2 linked regions of the Canis lupus familiaris genome follow. The protein of the gene in region 2 purifies or fractionates together with the protein of the main gene of each other region. This does not show direct contact. Links are inferred from orthologs where the notes say so. Each region holds a gene or a part of one and is shown on either strand. Other genes may lie near its edges.

What was found. The genes of interacting proteins can lie anywhere in the genome.
Region 1: the proteins of CDAN1 (region 2) and ASF1B purify together in Homo sapiens (co-immunoprecipitation; 5 studies listed by BioGRID and IntAct, counting the BioPlex papers as one, with this or other methods). This does not show direct contact. The link is inferred for Canis lupus familiaris from reciprocal best matches to the Homo sapiens genes CDAN1 and ASF1B.

What each region holds. Positions count from the first base shown.
Region 1 is NC_049241.1:48,802,687-48,805,753, reverse strand, and holds the end of ASF1B (histone chaperone ASF1B), read right to left. Parts: intron 2,255-3,067; coding exon 2,078-2,254; intron 1,696-2,077; coding exon 1,492-1,695; 3' UTR 515-1,491; downstream 1-514. UniProt on the Homo sapiens protein: Histone chaperone that facilitates histone deposition and histone exchange and removal during nucleosome assembly and disassembly. Cooperates with chromatin assembly factor 1 (CAF-1) to promote replication-dependent chromatin assembly.
Region 2 is NC_049251.1:9,959,309-9,963,398, forward strand, and holds the start of CDAN1 (codanin-1), read right to left. Parts: upstream 2,806-4,090; 5' UTR 2,790-2,805; coding exon 2,700-2,789; intron 2,448-2,699; coding exon 1,957-2,447; intron 1,801-1,956; coding exon 1,594-1,800; intron 1,400-1,593; coding exon 1,230-1,399; intron 1,100-1,229; coding exon 986-1,099; intron 904-985; coding exon 825-903; intron 427-824; coding exon 306-426; intron 148-305; coding exon 38-147; intron 1-37. UniProt on the Homo sapiens protein: May act as a negative regulator of ASF1 in chromatin assembly.

The sequences.
Region 1 (3,067 bases), on a different chromosome or scaffold from region 2:
CAGGTCTATAAGCCAGTTTGCTGCTCTGCCTAAACTTACACAATGTGCACCCTATCAGGCAGCTATCTGCACCCATGTTCCTAGGTCCACCAGTTTCCAGGAAGGAAGAGTCAGGGCACTTCTGTGAATTACAGGGAAATGGCTCACCAGCCAAACCAGTCTACTGGGCTGTATGGTTACAAAGTAAGGTTAAGTAAAATTTAATAAAAGTGTTGCTGCGTGTGTCCTTGGAGCATGATGTTAATTTCTTCCTGTGGGTCAAGGTCAAAGTCTAAAAAATCACTGGTTATGCTCAATCCAGAACAGCTGGGTTGCTTAACTTTTGACAAAGAAAAACCCCTCCCTGAACCTCAGGCTGGAGTACAATTATGTAACCAATTAAGACTAGGGTAAGAAGCTGAGCAAGGGAACAAAGGACGGTCAGCCCACTGGCTGGGGCCAGAGCCCCTTCACGACATCATGAAGAGAGATGGACAAATCTGCTTCAGCCCACCTAAGATAAAAGCAGAATCAGTCTAGAGGAAGTGCTTTTTATTTTTAGATCAACCAAACATATTTAATATAAAAACCTTTTAATATACAAACTGTAATCACAATTGCATCCACGTAGCAGCGAGGGAATGGGGTGTTGCAGGGAGCATGGCAAGGGGAGAGGTTTTCAGGGTCCCTATGGTTTCCTGTGCCTGCAAGAGCATGAGGTCTTCGCAGAGGGCAGATTAAGGCAGGCAGAGGGGCCCTGATGCCAGCATTGAGACAGACTCCACCAACCTGCCACCTTCCCACCATGGCAGCCTCCAGGGAAAGCCAGATCCAATTAAGAGAGGACAGGAAGGTGGTTGTACGGAGTCAACCATCATTCCTTAGCATCCTGCTGAGCATACCTTTGGGAACAGACTTTTCCAGAGGCTGTTGGATTAAAAGACCTAAAAACTATCCTAGGAGGACAGAAATTGTGTCCAAGTCCACCTTCTAACCAAGCTTGGTTCCTTGCCTGTGACTCCAAAAAGCTGGGTGGATTTGCTCAGATGTTTGGGGAGGGACAGGAATGACAGAGCCTTCGGCTCAACAGGCCTGGAGCCTTGCCAGGCGTTGACCAAGAAATCCTCAAGGCAAGCCAGGGAGGTCTGTGGGAAGAGCTCTGGGTCAATGGTACTCACAGGAGCATGGTGGCAGAAAGGCCTGCAGGTGGAATTTATAGTGTGTGTGTAAGACAGAAAAGACACATGTCACAAAGAATTAAAAAGTGAAGTACCTGCTTCTTACAGGCCTGGGCAGTAGAGGTAAAAGCTGATCCTTCTGGGTCAGTGTTGGGAGAGACCTGAGGCCTGCTCCTTCCTCAGAACCACGTCTGGCTTGGGTATAGCTGATGGCCCCAAAGTCCTCTAGATGGCCTCCGTGGGATTGTCCAGGAGGCCCAGCTGCCCTCTCCAGATGTGCTAGGAGACTGGCCACAGTCCCGGCTGGGCCCAGGTAGGGCCTGGATTCCTCGAGTTAGATGCAGTCCATGGAATTCTCGGGTAGGAGCCCAGGAATGCAACCTGGGAGACCCAAGCCTTTGATGGGAGCACAGCTGAAGGGGAGGCCACAGCCCAGGGTGGGGTCCTGGTTCTCTATGGCCTCTAGTCTGTCCATGTTGTCCCAGTTGATGTGGAAGCGGGTCACTCGGGGGTTTGAGGCCAAGATGTTCCTCTGGAGCTGGGGCAGAAAGAGGAATGTCAACCCTTGTCAGCATGCCCCGTCATTACTCCCACAGAGCCAGGGCACCCCAAGACCCTGCCCCAAGGCCAGGAAGAACAGAGCTTACTTATTCCATCACCATCAACAACTATGTGTAGAACTCCCGGGAGTGCCTATGTACTGTGATTTAGGGCTGAGACCTATCTAATCTCAATTCTGCCAGGCGTGCTTCTGAGAAACAAAGACCTTTCTCTCTCTGGTTCTGGTCTGGAGCTCCAAGATCTGAGCAGGGCTTGAAAACCTTAAGAAGTGACCTTGGCTCCCAATTCCAATGACTCAACTCCCCCAGGTGCCAAAGAGCCAGCCTGTCCGAGGCAGGAAGTGCAGAGACAGGCCCCACCTGAGAGAAGTCTGGCTTCAGGGGTGGGTTCTCCCGCAGCTCAGGATTGGGGTATTCATTGTTGACGTAGTAGCCCACACGGATGAACTCCTGTCCATGGTAGGTGCAGGTGATGAGGACCACGGTCACACCCACAGCATCAGTCTCTGGGATGAGGGATGGGTTGGGGGCATCAGCCTAGAGGAAACACACCCCGTGCCTTAGCATTGATCGTACAGCCACACCTCTACCACTTAACACAATGATTTTCAAGCAACACATATTTACTGAGCCAAAAGGTATGGTCTCTGACAACAGGAGTTTCTAATCGAGTGGGGAAGACACAATCAATCTTGCAAATGCCTGTAAAATGCTCAGTGTGACAAGTGCCACAAAGAAGTAAATGTAGTGCTGAGAAGTGTAGTGAGGGGGGGTGGAGGGGTGGCATAAGATAAGGCTGTACAAGTGGGCAGGTAGGGACCAGGGCGCCCAGGGTCTTTTGGGCCAGTTAAGGGCTTGGGAAGGAGCAAGAATGTCTAACAGGAGGTAAGTGCTGCATCACTCCTGTGGTCTGTAAAGAATGGCATGCTGTGATGGGAGGAGGGCAGTTGTGGGAGCAGAGACTGGGCAGGTTACAGTCAACCCAGAGTGCAGACAGCGATTTACACCAGGAAGGAGAGGACAGAGGCAGACACATTTGGGGTGTGTTGTTATGGATAGGACCCGCTATATAACTGGTACAAAATAAAACCAAAACGAGACATGGGGTCCCTTATTCACAAATTAGCAAGTTTTAGCCAGCGACAGCAGAACGTTATACCAGGTGCCGGGCCCTGTGTGGCTGCATGAGCTGAATGCTCAGGAAGCCAGCCTTGCTCGTGGAGTGGAGCAGGTGGGCTTGCTGGTGGCCTGGCTACAGGTGGGTGAGGCGTTTGGGGATGGGATGAGGTTGCCTGGACTGGGGTGGGAGCGGTAGACTGGGAGGTAGGCAAGGATTTGATTTTTATATAT
Region 2 (4,090 bases):
ACCTTGTTCCCTCCCAAAAGTTCCCTTTTCTTATCACCTCTGTTTTTTAAAAGTATGAAAGGCTCGGTCACTGGAGAAGTTGGCACGATTGTCTGTTTCTGGCTGAAAGGAGACAGCTTGAGCAGAGGGTGGCATCGCCAGAGAGACCTAAAATATGGCAGTGACATTAGGGATGGAAACCCTCACAGGTCATACTCAGAAAACTTCACCCCCGCGTAGCCCAGTGACACTGGAGTGGCATGCCCTGGGGCTGCCTGGATTATGAGGCTGGGAAAGGCCGGGTCCTGGATAGATGAGGTCCCTACCTTGGCAACACTGCCCTCATAGGCAGCCTTGAGGCGGCCCTGCAGAGCCGGTGAGAAGCACAGCAGCCGCTCGTTCTCAGCCAACAGCTTCAAGGTCCCCTTGTCCAGGTAGGAGAGAACCCTACAGGGGTACAGGGATGAAGGCACATAGGACTAAGACTGGGACGAGCCACATATAGGAAGCGGGCACCTGCACATCATAGAACACGTTATCTGGAGCATGGAACAGGTATGCAAGGCTAAGCCATGGGCTGAGCGTGTAAGATGCTGGAGGCCAGAGACCAACTAGAGCAGGGAAACATTAGACATAAGCCCATAGGGCAGATGCCAAGACCACAGGGGGCAATTTGATTCTCTCCAGAGTTAAGTTCATGGCCTTGACACAAAATTAGAGGCTACATACAGGAAGAGGCCCAGGGTCCCCGCGCCTGTGTGAAACACAAGCACTAACCCCAAGGGGCCAGAGCAGTGAGTGGGCAATGGGAATAAGGCTTAAATGCTTCAGCTGGGGAAACTCACTGAAATTGATGCTCCAAAACCTGCACAGCAAAGAAGACACAATCATGGACACTCTGGAACAGAGGGCTTTCCAGGGAATCTAGAAGGATAGTACCAAGTTGTCAGTTAAGAACTGTTCTATCTCCAGACCTCATTTCCCAAAAAGAGGCTTGCCCACTGACCTGGTGCTCCTGGAGTTGGTTCGAGGTCACTGTCCTTGGCGGCCACCATCCTCCGAGCAGTAAGGAGTTGAAGGATGAAGAAAAGCTCCAAGAAGAGGTTTGGTACCAAGTTCTCTGGACATAAAAAGAAATCCCAGGGTGTCAGGCACCATTCGGAAACAGGGCTCAGTTCTGCATGCCTTACCGTTTCTCCTACCCCGCAGTTCTGCAAGCATCTCCACTCCAGCCCTTTGCCCTCACCTACCGGCAATGCATGAAGAGTAGATGAGGGCTATCAGCTCCAGGCGCTGGCGGGACGACACTCTGGCAGGGTCAGCGGCTTCAGCTGTGAGGTTTCCTGTCCGGCTGGGGAGGGGAGACCCCGATTCTGAGGTGGGACAGGCGGGAGTAGGTGACTGTTGCAGATGCTTCGAGCTATGGGGACAGAGAGATGTCATGAGCACTTCCCCGGCTTCCCCTCCACAGCCACACTCCGGTTCCTCCAGAGCAGACGTCCACAGGCCAGGAACCAGACCCAGGGCTCCCAGGGGCGAACCGATCTCAGGGAAAAGCCCTGCAGATCCCCCAGTGGGAGGGAGCTGCCAACCCGGGGAGTGGCAAGGTCGTACCGCTCCTTCCTGAGCATCTCCCGCTCCTCTTGCAGACTTCTGCACCCTGGGGGAAGGCCATGGCCCCAAGGGCTAGTGTCCGGGACTGAGGGTTGGGAACTGGGGACACAGCTGATTGGGGGTGAGGTGAAGCAGGTCTTGGGCTTGGAGAGTGACCGCTCTTCGCTCACCGGAGTTGGGTTGATCCTACGTGAAGGCTTCGTCCTGCTGAGTGGCCACAGGCTTTTCTCAAACTCCTACCTTCCACCGCGGCCCCGTCCACCACCGCTACGGCTGGCGGGGGCCCTGGCGAAGCTCCCGTCTCGCTAGCGTGGTCGTCCCGCCCCCAACCCCGGCCAGTCTCGCGCTGAGGCGGCTTCTCACCCTGCAGGGCCGGGGGGGAGCGAGCCCACGGGAGGGAACTCCTCCAGGTTGCTGAGGTTCGGCGGGTCCGAGCGCGCGCGCCCGGGGCTGCCGGGGCTGCCTGAGCTCCTGCGCCTGCGGCCCGCGGCCCAGGGCGGACTCTCTCCGCCGACCCCCTCCTCCAGGCCCCCGGGGCCGCGGCCCCCACGCTCGCGGCCCGGCCCCGGGCCCCGCCTCCTGCCCCCGCGGCGGGCCGGCGGGGCCTCGGCGGCCGCGGCGCTCGAAGGCTCAGCCGGAGGGAAGAGCTGGCTGCGCGCCCCGCGGCCGCCCCGCGACGGGCCCCCCGGCCTCCCTGGCAGAGCCGCCGAGGAGCCCGGGGCCTTGGCGGGGGTCGGGGGGCCCTGCGGGAGGACGCGGCTGCTCTGCTCCCTCAGGAAGTTCAGCAGGAACGGCACGAATTCCTTCCGCAGGGGCCGCAGGGAGCGCAGCGCGGCCGCCTCCCCGGGGTCATCCTGAGGGAGAAGCGGCGAGTCAGCGGGCGGCCCGGAGCACGAGCCGCGGGGGCCGCGGGGGCCGCGGGGGCCGCGGGGCGCGCGGAGGCGCGCGGAGGCGGGCGGAGGCGGGCGGCCCGGGCAGCGGCCCCGACTTGGGCGCACTCGGCCCGGGCTGACAGCCAGGCAGGCTCCTGAGGGGAGGCGGCCGGACGGCTGGGACCTCCCGCGGGAGCGGACTCGGTCAGGCCTGGGGCGAGCGAGCGCTGTTACCTCCGAACTCTGGGCGCTGCGCGCGATCCACCGCACGGCGGCTGCGACCGACACCTCCTCCCGCAGCAGCGACTCCAAAACGGCCGCCATCCCGGTCCGGGCGCTTGAAGGCGATTGCGCAGGCGCCGGCGCGCCACGGGCGGCCTGGGAGGGGCGGGGCGGGCGCGGAGGAGCGACCGTTGGGCCGCGGGACGAAGGGGCGGGGCGGGGGCGGGGCCGGGGCCGGGCGGGGGCGGGGCCGGGGCGGGGCCGGGGCGGGGCCGGAGCTTCCCTGGCCCGGGGTCCGGCTCAGGCCTTGGGTCAAGGCCGCTGCTGGGGGGGGCGCGGGGGACTCGAGGGTGAGCAGTTCTCCCGAGAGAGACACCTGACTTATCTAATGTGATAAGCACAGTCTTTCCAGAGTTTGTTTTCTAGATTCAGCCATCACCACCCTAAAGAAGTTAGGATAAAATTAGCCTAATTTCATTTGACCTTGTCTTGCTCCAAGGTTGAGTTTTCCATCCCCTGGCCTACGGGCACCCACCGGTTCTCCAGCCATTGTCAACTGATCCACCATTTGTGTCTAAGAATTTTTTTAAGGTTTATTTATTCATGAGACAGAGAGAGAGAGAGAGAGAGAGAGACAGGCAGAGGGAGAAGCAGGCCCCCTGCAGGGAGCCCGACGCGGGACTCGATCCGGGGTCCCCAAGATCACGCCCTGGGCTGCAGGCGGCGCGAACCCGCGGAGCCACCCGGGCTGCCCGTGTGTCTGAGAATTCTTGCCGGGACTATTTTTATCATCTTCTGCTCAGCCCTCAACACACAGGATGGCCTATCTGTATCTTTACACAAGGTTATTTCGACTACTTTCCAGTTGAAATGTTAAGAGGCATATTCTTGTGTTAACTCATTTCTCGTTTGGAAACACAAGATGGGCAGCGCTTTGGATGTTGCTACTCACTGAGAGATCCAGACGGGGAGACCAGGCGGAGGAGGGCAGATGGCACCGGCACTCCAGGTGGGGTGAAGCAGCGCCCACGTGAGTGCCTCCCAAGAGCTCCTCTTAGCACCTGGCAGGTGTTTTTTTGGTTTTGTGTGTGTGTGTGTGTGTGTGTGTGTGTGTGTGTGTGTGTGAAGATTCTGAGAGAGCCCAAGCACAAAAAAGGGTGGGTTAGGGGGAGGAGCAGAGAATCTCAAGCAACTGCACACTCAGCAGGGACCAGGACCCGGGGCTCCATCCCACAACCCTGAGATTATGACCAGAGGGGAAAAGAAGAGTCTGATGCTTAACCTGCTTAATGGACCCAGCCACTTAGGTCTCCCTTAGCACTTGCAGTTTTATTACTTCACCTTCAGTTTTATGACACAGGGAAGAATCTCCTCGTATCCTGGCACTCTGGTTTTTATCTGTA